Linked DNA regions of Arabidopsis thaliana. The protein of the gene in region 1 interacts with the protein of each later gene in a biochemical or structural test. Each region holds a gene or a part of one and is shown in the gene's direction. Other genes may lie near its edges.

Region 1 (7,819 bases):
ACAAACTCAGACAGGAAAAAACTGTAAGAAGAAGAAGAAAATAAGAGAAAAGCAACAAAGCTATGGAAAGCTTAACTTTGGATTTGCAAGTTAAGTATTTTTAAAGCAAGGGAAGCATTGGAGAAGATCTTGTTGATATGTCAACCATAGCTTGAACATTGTGGAGCCCAAATGAAAAGGTATAAGTTGGCTGCAAAAGATACAAATGAAAACTGTGGAAAAATTCTTGAAGACTGAGATAAGTACACACTCAAAATGAGTTTTTCAATTCTAAGACTATGTGGGAACAGCGAGAACTTCAGTTGTGTGGAAAATTGGGAACTTGGCAAAGTGAATTTGTCTGACCTTCAGGAAAATGAGAAGAAGAAGAAGCATGTATGAAAAATACACTTAAGGAACTTGAGGAGAAGAGTGAGGATTTGTAGGAAAGAGTTGGAGAAGCGGAGACTGGAAGCATGAAAGTCGAGGCAAAGAAGGTTGCTTTAGAAAACAGAAAGCTCAGAGCAATGAAGGTTTTTTCTCTTGAAAAACTCGATAACTTGTCAAAGGTATATGAAAGCTTGGTGGATACAAGTGAAGCGTTTTTAAAGCAAGGCAAGGATTGGAGAAGGTCTTGTTGATATGTCAACCATAGCTTGAACATTGTGGAGCCCAAATTAAAAGTTATAAGTTGGCTGCAAAATATACAAGTGAAAAGTAAGGAAAAATTCTTGAAGACTGAGATAAGTAAACACCCAAAATGAGTTTGTCCATTCTAAGACTGTGTAGAGACAGCGAGAACTTCATTTGCGCGGAAAAGTCGGGAACTTGGCAAGGTAAATGAGAATAAACTGAAGGAACTTGAGGAGAAGAATGAGGATCTGTAGGAAAGAGTTAGAGAAGCAGAAACTGGAAGCATGAAATTTAAAGGAAGCTTGTTGGTCAACGAAGTCAAGCCAAAGAACATTGCTTTAGAAAACTCAGAGCAATGTAGGTTTGTTCTCTTGAAAAAATCGATGAGTCGTCCTCAAAGGTAAATGAAAACTTGGAGTATAAACTGCAGACTGAAGAAGACCGAGAGCTTAATTGACAAAGAAACCAACCTATAGAGCATTACTAAAGAAGCTGAGAAGAGCTCAGGAAAATGAAATTTGCTGGCTGAAGGAATGAATTAGACATTGGTTAATACACAAAATGCAGAGCACTAATCAAAGATTAGTTGAGAAAATAGCCAAACGCAGAGTTTAAGAGGAAGTCAATGGAGTCTTCTTATCATAACAACATTGAGGAGTTGTCACTAAAACTTCTTATTCCGGGTATTTAAATGGCTTCTTCCTCCGCAACTTCTCACTTTCCAGAACACAAAGACTTATAAACAAACCATCCTTCACGTATGTGTTGAATTGAAATGTGAATGTGACTTCATCAACACAATGACTTCAAAACCCAACGACGGTCTTCCTTTCTTTTCTCACCAATAAAATGTAGAAAAGAAACAAAGTACACAAGAAAGACTTTTCATTTAACGATATCTCCACTAGTAGTAGCTATAACTAAATGGGGTCATCGTTATTGACTTTGAATAAGAAATGTTCAAACACTTCAATTATTACATAATATCTTTGCAATAAAATAACAAACGTTAAAGAGCCGTCGCATTATTAGCACAAAAAATATCTTTTGTAAATAAAAAAACAACGTAAAAGAGCCGTCACATTTGAATAATAAAACCCATCTTGCACATAAAAAACACGACTTTTTATTATTTTTGATTATTTCAACAAAGTATGAATAGTCAACATAAAGAAAAGTCCGCCTTGATGTTCCTTCCTCACTCCCTATTTATCCATTTTCTAATCCCACCCTCTTCTCTTCATTCATCATCTTCCTCCTCTCTCTCTTCTCTGTATCACCCAACTAAATCCTCACGGGATTAGATCCAAAGTCTCAAACTTTGATCCAAAAACACAAACTTTGTTCAAAAGACATAAACTTTGAGCCAAAGTCACAAGCTTTCTTGGTGAACGATGGATTACAATCCAAATCTTCCTCCTTTAGGAGGAGGTGGTGTTAGTATGAGAAGAAGCATAAGTCGAAGTGTAAGCAGAGCAAGTAGGAACATTGAAGATATCTTCTCATCTGGTTCAAGAAGAACACAATCAGTCAACGACGATGAAGAAGCTCTTAAATGGGCTGCCATTGAGAAGCTACCAACTTACAGTCGTCTCCGAACCACTCTCATGAACGCTGTAGTCGAAGACGATGTTTACGGTAACCAGCTCATGAGCAAGGAGGTTGATGTAACCAAGCTTGATGGTGAAGATCGTCAGAAGTTTATTGACATGGTTTTCAAAGTAGCTGAGCAAGATAATGAAAGGATCTTGACTAAGCTAAGAAACAGGATCGATAGAGTTGGTATCAAACTTCCAACTGTTGAAGTCAGGTACGAGCATTTGACGATTAAAGCTGATTGTTACACTGGTAATAGATCTCTTCCTACACTTTTGAATGTTGTGAGGAACATGGGAGAGTCTGCTTTAGGTATGATTGGTATTCAATTTGCTAAGAAAGCTCAGCTTACGATTCTTAAAGATATCTCTGGGGTTATTAAACCTGGAAGGATGACACTTTTGTTGGGTCCTCCTTCTTCTGGTAAGACCACTCTTTTGTTGGCTTTAGCTGGGAAACTTGATAAATCTCTACAAGTCAGTGGTGATATTACTTACAATGGTTACCAACTCGATGAGTTTGTTCCGAGAAAGACCTCTGCTTACATTAGTCAGAACGATCTTCATGTTGGTATCATGACTGTTAAGGAGACTCTTGACTTCTCTGCTAGGTGTCAAGGTGTTGGTACTCGTTATGGTAAGTAAAAGATTCAATCTTTAATCATATCTTTTTTTCAAGATTCAGTTTTGTTGAATGGTTTTGATTCTTGTTGTTGTAGATCTGTTGAATGAGCTTGCGAGGAGAGAAAAGGACGCTGGTATATTCCCGGAAGCCGATGTTGATCTCTTCATGAAAGCTTCTGCTGCTCAAGGTGTTAAGAACAGTCTCGTCACTGATTATACTCTCAAAGTGAGTCCAACTCTCGCCTTAACTTAGCTCATCTTGTTCTTTTTGTTTCAAGAAGAGTGTTTGTTACTAGGCAAGCAACTCATAAAATCGAATCGAACTAAATCGTTTTTTATAAACCGAAACTGAACCGGAATTTATTCATTAACCGTTTGGTTTCATTATTTTAGAATATTGATATAAGTTTTCATATTCTAAAAATGTTCTAGACAATCTTTTCTCATGTTCATAAAGTTTTGAGTCTTTTTTTGTATAATACTAACTTTGGCCGTGTAACAGATTTTGGGGCTTGACATTTGCAAAGACACAATAGTTGGAGATGACATGATGAGAGGTATATCTGGAGGTCAGAAGAAACGTGTCACAACTGGTGAGATGATTGTTGGACCTACTAAGACACTCTTCATGGACGAAATATCCACTGGTCTTGACAGTTCCACTACTTTCCAAATCGTCAAGTGTCTGCAACAAATCGTTCACCTCAATGAAGCCACGGTGCTCATGTCTCTCCTCCAGCCTGCTCCTGAGACTTTTGATTTATTCGATGATATCATCTTGGTGTCGGAAGGTCAGATCGTGTACCAAGGACCGAGAGACAACATTCTTGAGTTCTTTGAGAGCTTTGGGTTCAAGTGTCCTGAGAGAAAAGGAACAGCTGATTTCCTGCAAGAGGTTACTTCCAAGAAAGATCAAGAACAGTACTGGGTGAACCCGAACAGACCTTATCACTACATTCCGGTTTCAGAGTTTGCCAGTAGATACAAGAGTTTCCATGTTGGGACGAAGATGTCTAACGAACTTGCAGTACCGTTCGATAAGTCTCGCGGCCACAAAGCAGCTCTTGTGTTCGATAAGTACTCTGTCTCAAAGAGGGAGCTTCTCAAGAGCTGTTGGGACAAAGAGTGGCTGCTTATGCAGCGAAACGCGTTCTTCTATGTTTTCAAGACTGTCCAGATCGTCATCATTGCTGCAATCACGTCTACACTCTTCCTGAGAACCGAAATGAACACAAGAAACGAGGGTGATGCTAATCTCTACATAGGAGCATTGCTATTTGGAATGATCATCAACATGTTTAATGGGTTTGCGGAGATGGCTATGATGGTTTCAAGACTCCCTGTGTTCTACAAACAGAGGGATCTCTTGTTTTATCCATCCTGGACCTTCTCACTTCCCACTTTCTTGCTTGGGATTCCAAGCTCAATATTAGAATCGACGGCTTGGATGGTGGTGACTTATTACTCCATTGGTTTTGCACCTGACGCCAGCCGCTTCTTCAAGCAGTTTCTTCTGGTGTTTCTGATTCAACAAATGGCTGCATCCCTCTTTAGGTTGATTGCTTCTGTGTGCAGAACCATGATGATTGCTAATACTGGTGGTGCTCTCACTCTACTTCTTGTGTTCTTGCTCGGAGGCTTCCTTCTTCCGAAAGGCAAGATTCCTGACTGGTGGGGTTGGGCTTACTGGGTATCTCCTCTCACCTATGCTTTCAACGGTCTAGTAGTCAATGAAATGTTTGCTCCCAGATGGATGAACAAAATGGTAAGTGGCTTACTTCTTTATTCTGCATTTTACAAACAAATATCATAGTAAAGCCGCCTCTGAGTCATATTTTTTTCAAATTACAGGCTTCTTCTAACAGCACAATAAAGCTTGGAACTATGGTGCTTAATACTTGGGATGTCTACCATCAAAAGAACTGGTACTGGATTTCAGTTGGAGCCTTGCTTTGTTTCACAGCCCTCTTCAACATTCTATTCACCTTGGCACTTACCTATCTCAACCGTAAGTTCTCGTGTTGTATCACCCGTTTTACCAAATCTAAAAACAATAGACTACTAATAATGTACCTTTGAAACTACAGCTCTTGGGAAGAAGGCAGGTTTACTTCCAGAAGAAGAAAATGAAGACGCTGATCAGGGGAAAGATCCAATGCGTAGATCTTTGTCTACTGCAGATGGGAACAGAAGTAAGTAAACACATTTCTTAATCTGCTTAGATGTTTTGCTTTTCTTGTACTCTTGTCTCATTCTGCTCCCTGCTATCAGGAGGAGAGGTCGCAATGGGGAGAATGAGTAGGGACTCTGCGGCTGAAGCATCAGGTGGTGCAGGCAATAAGAAAGGAATGGTTCTTCCTTTCACTCCTTTAGCTATGTCCTTTGACGACGTCAAATACTTTGTTGACATGCCTGGGGTAAGTAACTATCTTCACTTAAAATCTTTACACTAAATTAAATATGAATTACTTAAACTAAATAGATATCTTTTGATGGTATAGGAAATGAGAGACCAAGGAGTTACAGAAACAAGACTCCAACTGCTTAAAGGTGTGACTGGTGCATTTAGGCCAGGAGTTTTGACTGCGCTTATGGGAGTGAGTGGTGCCGGTAAGACTACGCTTATGGACGTTTTGGCCGGAAGGAAAACAGGTGGATACATTGAAGGAGATGTGAGAATATCAGGATTCCCAAAGGTTCAAGAAACATTTGCTAGAATCTCAGGATATTGTGAGCAGACCGATATTCACTCCCCGCAAGTAACAGTCAGAGAATCTCTGATTTTCTCTGCTTTCCTTCGTCTTCCTAAAGAAGTCGGCAAAGATGAAAAAATGATGTTTGTGGATCAAGTGATGGAATTGGTAGAGCTGGACAGTCTTAGGGACTCCATTGTTGGTTTACCGGGTGTCACGGGGCTTTCCACGGAGCAGAGAAAGAGACTGACAATCGCGGTGGAGCTTGTAGCCAACCCTTCCATCATCTTTATGGATGAGCCAACTTCAGGGCTAGACGCTAGAGCAGCGGCTATTGTGATGAGGGCGGTAAGGAACACAGTGGACACTGGAAGAACCGTGGTCTGCACCATTCATCAGCCTAGCATTGATATCTTTGAAGCATTTGATGAATTGATGCTGATGAAGAGAGGAGGACAAGTGATTTACGCGGGTCCATTGGGTCAAAACTCTCACAAGGTGGTTGAGTACTTTGAATCTTTCCCCGGAGTGTCCAAGATTCCAGAAAAGTATAACCCGGCCACTTGGATGCTCGAAGCTAGCTCACTCGCCGCTGAGCTAAAGCTTAGTGTTGACTTTGCTGAGTTATACAATCAATCAGCATTGCACCAGTAAGTTTAAGTTCCTTCTTTTCCATGGCTCATTGCATCTGATTGATTGTTTAAGTAATAGTACTAATGAATACATAACAAAATGCAGGCGAAACAAAGCGTTGGTAAAAGAACTAAGTGTACCACCAGCAGGAGCATCAGATCTTTACTTTGCTACACAATTCTCACAAAACACATGGGGACAGTTCAAATCATGCTTATGGAAACAATGGTGGACGTATTGGAGATCTCCAGACTACAATCTTGTCCGTTTCATCTTCACATTGGCAACATCTCTCTTGATTGGTACAGTCTTCTGGCAAATCGGAGGTAACAGGTCGAACGCAGGGGATCTAACAATGGTGATAGGAGCATTGTATGCCGCGATTATCTTCGTGGGAATCAACAACTGTTCAACAGTACAACCGATGGTTGCAGTGGAAAGAACAGTGTTCTACAGAGAAAGAGCAGCAGGAATGTACTCAGCCATGCCATATGCCATCTCTCAAGTCACTTGTGAGCTTCCCTATGTCCTTATTCAAACCGTTTACTACTCACTCATCGTCTACGCCATGGTTGGTTTCGAATGGAAAGCCGAAAAGTTCTTCTGGTTCGTCTTCGTTAGCTACTTCTCATTCCTCTACTGGACTTACTACGGCATGATGACTGTTTCCCTCACACCAAACCAACAAGTCGCTTCGATTTTCGCCTCAGCGTTTTACGGTATTTTCAACCTCTTCTCTGGTTTCTTCATTCCAAGACCCAAAATCCCAAAATGGTGGATTTGGTACTACTGGATCTGCCCTGTTGCATGGACCGTGTATGGATTGATAGTGTCGCAGTACGGTGATGTGGAGACACGTATCCAAGTCCTTGGTGGTGCTCCTGACTTAACCGTCAAGCAATACATTGAGGACCATTATGGTTTCCAATCTGACTTTATGGGACCAGTGGCGGCTGTACTCATCGCTTTCACCGTCTTCTTCGCCTTCATCTTCGCCTTCTGCATCAGAACTCTCAACTTCCAGACCAGATAAAACCATCTCTCAAACAACAAAGTCTCTTTCTTTTTTTGTATCCTCTGTGTTGTTTATATGCACTATAAGCTTTGTATGTTCTAAATATGTATTGTAGTGTCATAACGAAATTTTTTTGAATATTTTTATTTATTGTCTTATAGATGATGACGAATCGGAATCATGTAATATAATTCCACTTTTTTTTGTGTTTATATCCACAAATCCCTCAAAGTCCATTTTTGTTTGTTTCTTGAGACTTTTTATTTTACGATACTTCCAATAAGAGGAAGAAGACAGAAAAAAAGTGTGATCATATCCATTATCAAAGAAGACAAAATCAATGGAGGATAAGTTAATGTTCTTCATGATTAAATCTTGATAATTGTATAACATGGTTCTGTAAAAATTATCACAACACAACACCAATATCATAAAGTTTAATGAGAAATCTCAATAAATCAGTTTTTCTAAATATAGAAAAGTCTATCTTACAACGACAAAACGATTTTGAATTTTGGATTAAATCACCTAAAATTTCCTTAAATCCTACCAAAAGTCCTCCCAATCAAATTTCCATTTAATCATACCCAAATGTTTAGGCCAATACACCACCCTATATCTTGATCATTGCATAATATGGTTTGGAT
Region 2 (3,989 bases), on another chromosome or scaffold:
GATCATTATATAGTTGTTGTCATATTGAGGATAGTGTTCAAAATTATATAAAGACAATATAGTATGGACCCCAATTAAGTTTCGGTGGGGCTAATTATGTAATGAGGTTTAGTCTAATCTGATAGGATCAAATTAAAGTGGAGAAGAGAGTAAAGAAAGTGTGAGGAGAAAGAGGCATGTTAGACAAATGATGAAGGAAGAAACAGCTTTTAGGGGCCTTTATTCCTTTAGTCATGAAGCCCACTTTAACTTTTCCCATCATTTGGACCCCCACCCATTCTTTGATTTATTCCTGATTCTGACCCACATACTGTTTTATGGTACCAAATCAAGAACACCACTTTTAAAGAAAAATGATTCTACAAGCACTTCATGTATGCCTGAGTCTTATTATTCGCTAGTAATAGTTTATATATATTTGTGTGACAACGTACTAATTTATATACTAAACACACAAGTTGTCTGATAAATTATTTTCGTCTTATTTAACAAACAACCAACAGTACTGGCAGGAGATGTCGTCGTGGGGACGCACACGCAGAAGAACACGAAGACGACACAACACGAACCAGACACAGACACGATGTTGTCGATGATGAACCATCACGAATATTGCTGCAAAGACAACAAACCCTACAAAGTCAACAATATAAATCTAATCACTAGACCCGATCATTACTCCATTCATGACGTCATTTCCAAGAGATCAACGTCAACGACGACGACAGAGTCATGTGGCACGTTGCCCCTTGTGGTGCGGAGGGTAAGACGGAGCTTGATGGAGAGCGTGAACCAAGTTTGTGATGACGTGGCATCTGGTCAACGAAGAGAGGTCGCTAAAATCGGTTTGGCTCTTCATGATCACATCTGTCGCGACTTGATCGCAGAGACCGTTCGAGAGCTCTCCTTCTCTGACTACGACGACGACGAGTTTTATCAATCGCCGGTGGATTCTTCTGTTTGTTACGGCGGAGGAGGTAAAGGCCAACACATCCGACGTGGCAGCAGCAACTCTCTCCCATTCGACGCGTGTCGAAGAAGATTAGTGTTTTGATGCGATTGATATCTTTAGGTTCGTTGTGACGGTTATGGAAGTCATAGTTGCGACAATTTTCACCTATGACACTTGTTGTTTAAATTATTTTATAATTTTCTTAGCTTATTCAGAATTTAAGACATATCTTTCAATAGAGTGCAATTGGTTGTTTAGGGTTTAATGAATGATACACTATTTGCATTCAATATAAAAACTTTCCCTATTTGATGAATTCATGTATATACTAGTACTACATAGATTTCCTTAAATAAATGAATGATTAACAAAATCAGAAACAATATATTCATCTAGATACAGATATTAATGTTTTTTTTAATAACTCATCCTATATTTTAAAACTCGATCGTTTTCTCTTTATATATACCTTTCTTAAGTTACCTTATATACATAATTTAATCATAGAATTTATTAAGAAATTGATTAGACGTATCAATTATATCTTGAAGTGATTTTGATTGTTTGAAAACGAAATCTAATCTAATTAATTTGCAGGTGATATTGTACTTAAGTTAACAATAAAAGAAACTAATTATTTGTTTTCAATGGTGAGGAGGACTACTTAAATTCAAAAGCGAAGCCAATCATAAACAGACATCTGTACTGAGAGAGATCTCGAGGACCCAGCGAGAATGCTGACGTGACAGTCAAGTCAACGCTCCGCGTACAGACCGCGTGAACGTGTGATCCGTTTAATTGTCCACTCTGGCGTTTTATAAGAGAAAAGAAATCATTGATGATAGCATTAACGCAATTACAGTCATAATCCGAGGTTATAACAGAGATTTTTCCAAACCCGGTACGGGTTAAAAAAAAAAGCTTTTAAAGTCCCGGGTCGGAGCAAAAGTCGTTAATAGCTTCGTACCCGATAAATACGGTTGCTCTCTCGTTTTTTCCAGCAGAGACACTTTTTCTAATTTTCTCTTCTTCTTCTTCTTTCTCGTTTTGAGAGAAAACAAAAAAATTCTGAATCTACAGGTTTCACGAAAAGGAGAAGAAAAAAACAATGGCGGATCAGCTCACCGACGATCAGATCTCTGAGTTTAAGGAAGCTTTCAGCTTATTCGACAAGGATGGTGATGGTACGTTGTTGTTTTTTTCTCTCTCCCTCTCGCAATTTCAAATGTTTTTGAATACATAGGATTTTGCTACTGTTGGATCTTGGTGTCTAGCCATAACTGATTTGATTTCTGTTCTTCTTGTTGATTCAATTGATCTGTGTCGATGTAGATAATTAACGGATCTGTAATTCGTGATCTCTAGACTCGTTCCTTGTTTTTCAATTTTTGTTCGTTTGTTTCCTGGATTGGATTTGAATCGAAATTTGGATGATTGATGACTTGGAGATTTGCCAATTTGTTATCGATTTGGATTTAATTTTCCATCTGAATTATTTTATCTCACTTTAGATTTGAGAAGTTAATGACTAGAAACTGTTAATTGAGAAGTTTGGGATCTAGCTAAAATGCTTCTCTACAGAGAAACCTGCTTTGAGTTTCGTAATTGAAGATATTTGATTGAATTAGATTTACAGAGAAGTGAATGATGAACAAATTCTTGATTTGCTTGTAGGTTGCATTACCACCAAGGAGCTGGGTACTGTGATGCGTTCCCTTGGACAAAACCCAACCGAAGCAGAGCTTCAAGACATGATCAACGAAGTGGATGCTGATGGTAACGGTACCATTGATTTCCCAGAGTTCTTGAACCTTATGGCTCGTAAGATGAAGGACACCGACTCTGAGGAAGAGCTCAAGGAAGCATTCCGGGTTTTCGACAAGGACCAGAACGGTTTCATCTCAGCAGCTGAGCTCCGCCATGTGATGACAAACCTTGGTGAGAAGCTTACTGATGAAGAAGTTGATGAGATGATCAAGGAAGCTGATGTTGATGGTGATGGTCAGATTAACTACGAAGAGTTTGTTAAGGTCATGATGGCTAAGTGATGCTGTTTTAGAACCAAACAATGGCTCTATAAACTTGGTTTGCATCTCTTACATATAAATTCTTATGTTATGTTCTATAATTTTTATTCATGGGACTCGAGGTATGTTTTCTGCTTGTTTAAGACGCGAATGTTTTATCCCTTTTATGCTCTATTTTGCGTCTGAACATTTTCAAAAGTCTTGTTTTTTTGTTGTCTTGCTCCTGTAATTTGTAACCTTGGTCTAGTTCGCGGTTTTTTATTAATGGTGTCTCTCTAGTAAAGCATTGTATCATGGTTTTGTGAAATGCAAATTAGGTCCTATCAATGACTAAAAAGGTCAAAACGTGGTGTGGTGTGTATCATTAAAAAAATAGAAACCGACATAAAAGTTTCCAATTCGTGGTCGTTTAAGAAAAAGGAAAACGGCATAAAGTTTCCTATTCGTGGTTGAATTGGGATCATTCAATTGATGTGAATATAGGTAAAATACCTTTGTGTTTCTTTGTTCACGTTCGTTTCATACTTCCCCTAAATTTGTCTCATCATGGATAACAAGAAGCAGAGATATTCCAGGAGCATCCGTGACGATCGTGATGAGAGAGATAGGACTAAGCATCATCATGAGAGGTCTCACGAAGGAAGTAAGAGGAAAGATAGATCAGAGGAAGAGAATGGGGCGGCTAGGACGACAAACAAGAGTTCTAGGTTTGAAGATGTAGCTAGGTTTGAGAAAAGGCCGTATACTTGTTCTATTGCATCGGACACTACTTCTAGTCAAATCCTTGAAGCTGTTAAACGATTTCAGGAGCTGGCAATAGATACGGCTGTTGCACATAAACAGACCAAGGGCTTTTTTCTGCGTGTAGATGTACTTGGAAGAGAAATAGATGAGTATGGGCATGTGATTAATCTTAGTACATTGATGGTTAACAACAACAAACACAAGAAAGATGTTTTTCAGAATATTCTTAAACCTCCCCAACCTTTTAAATTGACAAAGAAGGAAGA
Region 3 (3,969 bases), on another chromosome or scaffold:
GCAATGGCTAAGGACACTTACTCTGAGAAAGACCTCAAGAAAGATTTCAGACTCTTTGACATAGACAAGAATGGTTTCATCTCAGCTGCTGAAATGAGATATGTGAGGACTATCCTCCGGTGGAAGCAAACTGATGAAGAAATCGATGAGATTATCAAGGCAGCTGATGTTGATGGTGATGGTCAGATCAACTACAGAGAGTTTGCCAGGCTTATGATGGCCAAGTGAGATTTAAACAACTTTTCCGCTTCCCCTTTTTTTACTACCTCTTATCTAATTTCATAAAGAATGTTCCTCTCTTGTTCTTAAATTTCATTCTGAGTTCTTGTGTGTATGGCTAGGAATCAAGGTCATGATACTAAATATGACACAACTGGTGGCACTTTGGAGAGGGACTTGGCGGCCGGGGTTGCCAAAAATATCATCGCAGCGCCAATGACCGACTTCATCAAAAATTTGTTCGAAGCGTTGTTTTCTTGAAATGGTACATCAGTAACTTTATGCCATTAGGGTCTGGCTGGTATGTTAGATCTCTCTAAAAAGGCGTTTGATCTTTGAAAATAATTTCTATGTAATAAATTTATTGTGTTACCATCTTTTCTTGCATGCAATTTATTAAAATGAGTTTGTAATATGGTTTCAGTATCGAATATAATTGGGGTATCAATGTATCTTTTGAGAAAAACATTTAAAACGTAGCAGAACTAATTATTGAAAACTGGTAGCATTACTAAAAATTGATCTAAATCGGTTAATGATTTGGCACATACAGTGATCAAATCAGCTAAGCCTCATATCTCACCGTCCCAGAGTTCTTCAAGACTCTTATAAGGACTCATCTAATGAATAATGACATGCCTCGCACCAACCTGCCCTGCAACATTGAAAACACACGTCTACAATTTCGATAACCCAAGTGTTTTGAGCAAAACAAAGGACGCCCTTTGACCCATTTGGACTACAATGTGTGGAAAATTACTGCATGTTCAATATCAGAAAACTTGGATAACATGTCTTCGATATGGGCTTTTCTTATTTTGTACCCGTGTAATTTCGCTGGCCCAAAATCCAAAGCAACAAGGGTAAATTTGTATGCAGTACATGTGGCATGTTGGGTCATATGGAAACAGGTCACAAGACTCAGATTCTTTACATTGCGGCGGGTAGTAGTAGCTTTCTAGTCTACCTTGAGATTGCCCCTGCCCGTGATTCTTGAGTCGGGCACAGGAAGTGGTTTTCTGTCAACTTTACTTGCTCAAGCCATCCCCGCAAGGTAGAAACTTCTGTGGTCTTTCTCGTTATTTCTTATGTACCATGTTTTTGGTCGTTTGTGTAGTTTCTTCTAACCTTCCACACACTTGTCTTGCGAATTCCTTCCACAGCAGAGATGTTAAATCAGGAATATTCAGGATGTAGAAACTTCTCTGCTCTTTCTCAAGTAGAATGCACTTGTGGAATCCCTCAGATCAGATTTCATTGGTAACGTTCGTTAACTTCAACAACAACACTTTACTAAACATGTGCTAATCAATTGTCATACGCTTGTATTTCTTCGATTCATTTTTATCTTATGCAAGTGTTTTCTCTATTATGATTTATTTAGTTTTGCATAAATAAGGACACTCCTTCGGAGTCAGTATAAGAAAACTATAACCTAAAATATAAATTAGGCAAATGTCCACTCACCCATCCAAAATTCCATTGTAAATAAATGTTTCTTTCAAATAAATGAAAAAAAAAAAAAAAAACAAGTTGGAAGAAGGAACCAACCAAGTAATTGCCAGTCAAAGGAGGCGACTCACACTTGAAAGGATAAGCTGACATGGCAGACAACGATCCTGCGTAGAAATTGCGTGAACGTGGAAAAGTTTGAGGATATAGCCGTCATTTCAAATAATTCGGGTACTATTATATAAGGCTTCAAGTCCTGGTTCGTAGTACAAATTGTCTCACAAACTCTTCTTTCAGTCATCACAGAAAACAAAAAAAACAATGGCGGATAAGCTCACTGACGATCAGATTACAGAATACAGGGAATCTTTCAGGTTATTCGACAAGAATGGTGATGGTATGGTTCATCAACTCTTTCCATTTAATCGTAATGTTGGATCATGATCATCTTCAAAGCAATGAAATGACTAACACAAGTCCTTGATTACTTTTTGTAGGTTCCATTACGAAAAAGGAGCTCGGTACCATGATGCGTTCAATCGGTGAAAAACCGACAAAAGCTGATCTTCAGGACTTGATGAACGAAGCGGATTTAGATGGTGATGGAACCATCGATTTCCCTGAGTTCTTGTGCGTAATGGCTAAGAATCAAGGTCATGATCAAGCGCCGCGTCACACTAAAAAAACAATGGCGGATAAGCTCACTGACGATCAGATTACAGAGTACAGGGAATCTTTCAGGTTATTCGACAAGAATGGTGATGGTATGGTTCATCAACTCTTTCCATTTAATCGTAATGTTGGATCATGATCATCTTCAAAGCAATGAAATGACTAACACTAGTCCTTGATTACTTTTTGTAGGTTCCATTACGAAAAAGGAGCTCCGTACCGTGATGTTTTCCCTCGGTAAAAACCGGACAAAAGCTGATCTTCAGGACATGATGAACGAAGTGGATTTAGATGGTGATGGAACCATCGATTTCCCTGAGTTCTTGTACCTAATGGCTAAGAATCAAGGTCATGATCAAGCGCCGCGTCACACTAAAAAAACAATGGTGGATTATCAGCTCACTGACGATCAGATCTTAGAATTCAGGGAAGCCTTCCGCGTATTCGACAAGAATGGTGATGGTATGGTTCATCGTCCCTTTCTCGCTAATCGTACATATTGGATCCTGATCATCTTCAAAGCACTGAAATGACTAACATAAGTCATTGCTTACTTTTTGTAGGTTACATTACCGTGAATGAGCTCCGTACTACTATGCGCTCCCTTGGTGAAACCCAAACAAAAGCTGAGCTCCAGGACATGATCAACGAAGCGGATGCAGATGGTGACGGAACCATCAGTTTCTCTGAGTTTGTGTGTGTAATGACTGGTAAAATGATTGACACTCAGTCTAAGAAAGAAACGTACAGAGTTGTGAATCAAGGTCAGGGTCAAGTGCAGCGTCACACTAGAAATGACAGAGCTGGTGGCACCAATTGGGAGAGGGACATAGCGGTCGGGGTTGCCAGCAATATCATCGCTTCGCCAATTTCCGACTTCATGAAAGATAGGTTTAAAGATTTGTTCGAAGCGCTGTTATCTTGAAATGACACGTCAGTAACTTTATGCCAATAGGGTCTGACAATTATGTTAGATCTCTCTCAAAAGGCGTTTCATCTAATGACAATAATTTCTATGTAATAAATTTATTGCATGTGTTAGTGTGTTACCATCTTCAGTTGTGTGCAATTTATTAAAATGAGTTTGTAATATGGTTTCAGTATCGAATATAATTGGGGTATTAATGTATCTTTTGAGAAAAACATTGAAACGTAGCAGAACTAATCATTGAAAACTGGTAGCTCACTACTAAAAATTGATCTAATATGATAAATCGGTTAATGATCTGGCACATACAGTGATCAAATCAGCTAAGCCTCATATCTTACCATGTTAATCAATTGTCATAAGCATGTATTTCTTCGATTTGTTTTTATCCGATGCAAATTTTTGCTTTGTGATTGTTATTGCAGAAACAAGGACGTTCGATGCACTTCCAAAAAACATATAATGTTACAGACAATGTAGTATTAAAAAGTAGTAGTTAAAAGCAAAATCTTTAATAATTTAGACAAATGTAGCGACAGCTCCACTTACCATCCAAACGAATACTTCACAATTGATAATTCTAATAAATGTTTTTTTTTAAAAAAGACAGCATTTAACAATAACGAGAAAACAAATACTAACGAATTGGAACCAGAAACCAACGAACCAAGGAAAATCAAAGGAGGCGACTCACTGGA
Region 4 (4,659 bases), on another chromosome or scaffold:
CGTTGACTAAATAAATAACAAAACGGGGTCAAACGGAGAGAACGGTGTCGTTTGATAGCTCAGTGTGATCGATTTGATTCTTGGGATCAAGAGCCATCTCACGGAGCCGAAGAAGACTTCCGGTAGCCAAAATCGCCTTCGGATTTATATCATGCAGAGATCGGAGATACAAACTCTGACAAGCTTTATTCGCCGCCTCAGATAACTCCCTATCTTCCATTTTGAGCCCAAGGAGACAATGCCCTAAGATCCTCAAAATCGGTTGGAGAAGCTCCCATGGCAATGGAATCCTTCCACTATCTCTCTCAGATCTTCCTCCAATAGCAACATTCTCTTCCTCTCTCCACGAATCATCGCTCAAAGTCGGAATCACAGCCCGTGAAGATTGCTCCGTTTCTCCGTTTTGCCCCGCCCATTTCTCACACGATTCACAGAAATTAAGCTTAGATTCGCGTGGCATTTTCGAGATTTTGCTATAGTAAAGCTCCAACGCGACTCCGACGATCCTCGCGCGGCGCGTGGATCTAACCGTCCCGTGTGGATCTAACGTGGAGGAGATCACAGCGATGTTGAGGCACGTTGAGTTGTTGTTCCTTGTGAGACCTTTGGATTCATGGTAAATGCTTGGATATGAGAGATCTGGAATGTTGACGGTTATTGCTTGACCGGCACGTGAGGTTGTTTCGTGCGCGTAGAGAGCGAGTAAAACGGCTTCGAATCCGGCTTGTGGTTGACGGAGAGGGACACGAGAGAGGTAGAGACCAGCGATTAAAGGAACGAATCGGAGGACGAGAAGCTGAAGCGATGGTTCCGCGGATTGGAATGTGTCGTAGAGCCAACGGCAGAGGTTGTTATCTCCGGCGCCTGAATCGGGACGTAGGAGGAGAGAGGAGATCGCGGTGGAGACGGCTTCATCGTCGAGGAGGATGGTTATTGTGGAAGGGATGTTTGTGTTTGTGACGATCGTGGATAAGGATTGGATTGCTGTTTGACATTTTGTGTTGGATTCTGATTCGTTGTTGGTCACTGTGGTTTCTGAATCTCCGGTGATCGCCGGAGAAGGTGGTGAGTCATGGCTTGAGGAAGAATCAGACATTTTGGGGAAGATGATGATCGCTTCTGAGAGAGTAGAGGTGAAAAATATGGAAATTTTGAAAACTTTGAGAAAATTACGCAGCAAAAATAGAATCAAATAAAAGTAAACCAAATTATGGGCTTGATAGTTATGGGCTAGAAGCCCAAATTAAATTTGATCTTTATCCCGTGTATTTAGATGGGTCATTTCACACCGAAACTTTTCAAGTTATCTCATGAACGTGACCGTTTCAAAGACATCATGTGCATCCTCAATAGTCGCTTGTGTGTATCGGAGACAAAGGGGCTAACCCAAGTGATATGGTCGTTAGATTCTTCAGGCGGCAACAAGCCATGGAACAAATTATGTTCGATAGATCTCACAAAAACTCTTTCTTTGTCCACTTCCCTCTGGCGCCAATAGCATTATTGGACAAGAATAAGCTATTGCTTCAAGGTCATGGTTGCATGGAAGAACATGTGATATATGATCTCCATGCAAAATCTTACTCTTACTAGAAAAAGCGTATTTACAACTAAAAATCACTTATTGTGGAATTTTGAAAACTTTGAGAATATAACGCAGCAAAAATAGGATCAATCTTATATAATAAAACAAAGATATACATGTGTTGTAGCTGCTCATATCGTACGATCTGGACGCTTGATTTGTTTTTCGATCGGACGGTTAGTATAGCACCGTCCGGGGACCATAAAAAAAAAACAAATTGGCAATAATGTTTTTTTTTTTACATTGTTTGATGCTTGGTTGGTTTTGGACCTTTTGGTTCTCCATCTTCAAAATCTCATCAATCCGATTAGAGAAATTAGGGCAACGTAATTTTGGCGAAAATCCTCTCTCTGTTACGAATAGATTGTTTTTGATTACTAAAGGTACTAACTTTTCTCGATTCCGCTTGCTTGTTTTAGCTTTCATCTCTGTTTCTAGGGATTTATCGTTGTTCCTCTGTTTCGTTTTAGCTAACATTTACGAATCTCTTCGTTTTTCTTTGTTTATGATGTGTTGGTCTGATTGTTATCGATTTTTGGGGGTAAAAATTTGTATTTTGTTTAATCTGGTTTGGTTCTATTGATGAATCGTTTTTCTCGTTTATCTTCAAGCTTAGCTGGATTCGTCTCTGGTGCTGTAGATTTTCGAGATCCGGTCAGAGTCGTTCGTGAAAAGCTCCTTGTTTAAGTGTTACGGGCTACATCGGACGCTGACTGGCTTTTCATGGAATTTGAGTGCCAAGAGAGACTTGAAGCTGCGAACGATCAAAGAAGTGAGTCTGGTCTTTTGAATACCGATTTGAGAATAGGTAATGATGGGTCTGTTGAGATTCCAAATGTGAAGTTGTGTTGTCAGAAAAAGAAGGGAACTTTAGTGCCCAGTGGCTCGAAACAGTTACTCTCTGACAAGGATTTGTCTACTACCATTATTGATTTACCTCAGGCATTGATATCTGAGATTCTTAATTGCCTTGACCCAAAAGAGTTGGGTCTAGTGTCTTGTGTTTCAACTTATCTGCATAGGTTAGCATCTGAGCATCACGCTTGGAAGGAGTTCTATCGTGAGAGATGGGGACTCCCTGTAGTTTTCGGAGCTGCAAGTTCAGGGCTTTCTGATGAGAGATCATGGAAAGATCTGTTTGTTGAAAGGGAATTTAGGAGTAGGACCTTTTTAGGACGTTATAGTATTGATACTCTGTATGGTCACACTGAAGCAGTCCGGACTGTTTTTCTCTTAGCTTCTGCCAAGCTCGTTTTCACTTCTGGATATGATTCCATTGTTCGGATGTGGGACATGGAAGAAGGCTTGTCTATTGCGGCATCTAAACCTCTCGGTTGTACGATTAGGGCACTTGCTGCTGATACAAAGCTGTTGGTAGCTGGCGGTACTGATGGATTCATTCATTGCTGGAAATCACTGGATGGTCTCCGGAACCTGTTTGATCTCACAGGTTTTCAGAAAGAGAAGACTGAGTTTCGGCTATGGGGACATGAGGGTCCTATTACATCTCTTGCCCTGGACATGACAAGTATCTTTAGCGGTTCATGGGATATGTCTGTTCGTATATGGGATCGATCTTCAATGAAGTGTGTCAAAACCTTGAGGCATAGTGATTGGGTTTGGGGACTTGCACCTCATGAAACCACCCTCGCTAGCACGTCAGGTTCTGATGTATATATTTGGGACGTTAGCAGTGAGACTCCATTGGCGATCATCCCTGATGCTCATGAGGGTACCACTTACTCTTTGGCAAGAAGCCATACTGGGGATTTCCTGTTTACTGGTGGAGAAGATGGAGGGATTAAAATGTTTGAGATCAGAAGATACGGTAGTGAAACAAGCGTTGTACTTATATCTCAATGGATGCCTCACACTAGTCCTGTCTACTCTCTTTCTTTTGAGTTTCCTTGGCTTGTCTCAGCATCCGGTGACGGTAAACTCGCACTTATCGACGTTAGGAAACTGTTAAAAACTAACCGTTGTGCCTATTCCAAAAGGATTTCTTCGAGTACTGTGGAACCGCCACAACGAATGCTGCACGGGTTCGGGTCAAACTTGTTCTCTGTGGACGTGGGTTATGACCGTATAGTGTGTGGAGGTGAAGAAGGCACAGTCCGGATATGGAACTTCACACAAGCATTGGAGATAGAGCGAAGGACCCGAGCTCTGAAAGGAATGAGGCATGAGAATAGGATGAGACGAAGGAGAATGCAAATGGAGATGAACGCAAAGAATGGAAGGCCTGACCAATGCTCCATTGCTGCTCATAAGAACCCCATCAATGGAGAAAGGAACCGAGCCTGGCATAGTAAACGAAGAGCAAGCGGGAAGGCGAAGGCCTAAGCGATAAGATTGGATTTATCTTTAATACATTTAGTAAAGCAATTTTATAACCTTGACACATGTTGGCTTTAACTTTTAAGCTATCAGAGTTGGGTCTTTATGATTGGTGGAAAATGAGAAAATTGGCTTTTAGTTCATATATTTTGGAAGCTTTTAGTATGAAAAAATGCAAGAGATTCCTCGAAGGTTCACTAACTTCTAACTGAATTTCAAAATCTTACAATACAACAAACATAGTAATATTTTTCAAGTTCAAAAACAAGAAAACGAAAAATATAAACAAAAAAGGAAGTTCCAATTCTCTATTGGCTTTTCTTTGAAACTTGAAGAATTTGATATTTGATCGACCATGACAGAATAGCAAAGCCTCATGAGTCTTGGTTCTTTCGTTTGAATTCCCAGATCAATTCCTAGTTCTCTCGTTTGAATTCCTAGTCTCTTCGACTTCAATCTACCCACTAAATTCTATTGCAGTTAATCCACAACAAAAGCCAATAATTATCCACTTAATTAAAAAAGTAATGCATGCAATGTAAGTGAGAAATCAATGACTAGTGTACCCTCTCGAATTTCATGTACAAGAAAAACTCTTTGTCTTCCTTAGCGTAAAACATAAAAAGGCTTTAAGACTCTTTGCACTCACCGCACGCCTCTTCATCTCCTCTTACATAATCCTTTCTTTTACTATTTAAGGGTTATTCCTTATTCGGGGCCAAACACCTTAGGTACGT

The links.
Region 2: the proteins of PEN3 (region 1) and CAM3 form a complex in vitro, tested with the Arabidopsis thaliana proteins (one study listed by BioGRID).
Region 3: the proteins of PEN3 (region 1) and TCH3 form a complex in vitro, tested with the Arabidopsis thaliana proteins (one study listed by BioGRID).
Region 4: the proteins of PEN3 (region 1) and FBX2 form a complex in vitro, tested with the Arabidopsis thaliana proteins (one study listed by BioGRID).

The regions. Positions count from the first base shown.
Region 1 is NC_003070.9:22,032,655-22,040,473, forward strand, and holds PEN3 (ABC-2 and Plant PDR ABC-type transporter family protein), read left to right. Parts: upstream 1-1,768; 5' UTR 1,769-2,006; coding exon 2,007-2,844; intron 2,845-2,926; coding exon 2,927-3,057; intron 3,058-3,333; coding exon 3,334-4,596; intron 4,597-4,682; coding exon 4,683-4,839; intron 4,840-4,918; coding exon 4,919-5,023; intron 5,024-5,102; coding exon 5,103-5,248; intron 5,249-5,332; coding exon 5,333-6,174; intron 6,175-6,262; coding exon 6,263-7,190; 3' UTR 7,191-7,472; downstream 7,473-7,819. Other genes in the region: AT1G59865 (uncharacterized protein), read right to left, coding at 346-643. UniProt on the Arabidopsis thaliana protein: Together with ABCG37, regulates auxin homeostasis and responses by playing a dual role in coumarin (e.g. esculin) and in the auxin precursor indole 3-butyric acid (IBA) efflux transport, thus influencing cotyledons, roots and root hairs development.
Region 2 is NC_003074.8:21,033,992-21,037,980, reverse strand, and holds CAM3 (calmodulin 3), read left to right. Parts: upstream 1-1,814; 5' UTR 1,815-2,060; coding exon 2,061-2,136; intron 2,137-2,626; coding exon 2,627-3,000; 3' UTR 3,001-3,447; downstream 3,448-3,989. Other genes in the region: AT3G56810 (uncharacterized protein), read left to right, coding at 504-1,054; AT3G56790 (RNA splicing factor-like protein), read left to right, coding at 3,526-3,989. UniProt on the Arabidopsis thaliana protein: Calmodulin mediates the control of a large number of enzymes, ion channels and other proteins by Ca(2+). Among the enzymes to be stimulated by the calmodulin-Ca(2+) complex are a number of protein kinases and phosphatases. Activates MPK8 in vitro.
Region 3 is NC_003071.7:17,136,139-17,140,107, forward strand, and holds TCH3 (Calcium-binding EF hand family protein), read left to right. Parts: upstream 1-1,690; 5' UTR 1,691-1,751; exon of another isoform or gene 1,752-1,977; 5' UTR 1,978-1,992; coding exon 1,993-2,068; exon of another isoform or gene 2,069-2,168; coding exon 2,169-2,435; exon of another isoform or gene 2,436-2,535; coding exon 2,536-2,805; coding exon of another isoform or gene 2,806-2,867; intron 2,868-2,906; coding exon 2,907-3,268; 3' UTR 3,269-3,469; downstream 3,470-3,969. Other genes in the region: AT2G41090 (Calcium-binding EF-hand family protein), read left to right, coding at 1-224, 342-480; AT2G41105 (uncharacterized protein), read right to left, coding at 2,313-2,348, 2,793-2,867, 2,917-3,021. UniProt on the Arabidopsis thaliana protein: Potential calcium sensor that binds calcium in vitro.
Region 4 is NC_003076.8:7,144,327-7,148,985, reverse strand, and holds FBX2 (F-box protein 2), read left to right. Parts: upstream 1-1,708; 5' UTR 1,709-1,968; intron 1,969-2,196; 5' UTR 2,197-2,308; coding exon 2,309-3,928; 3' UTR 3,929-4,109; downstream 4,110-4,659. Other genes in the region: AT5G21050 (hyccin), read right to left, coding at 29-1,096.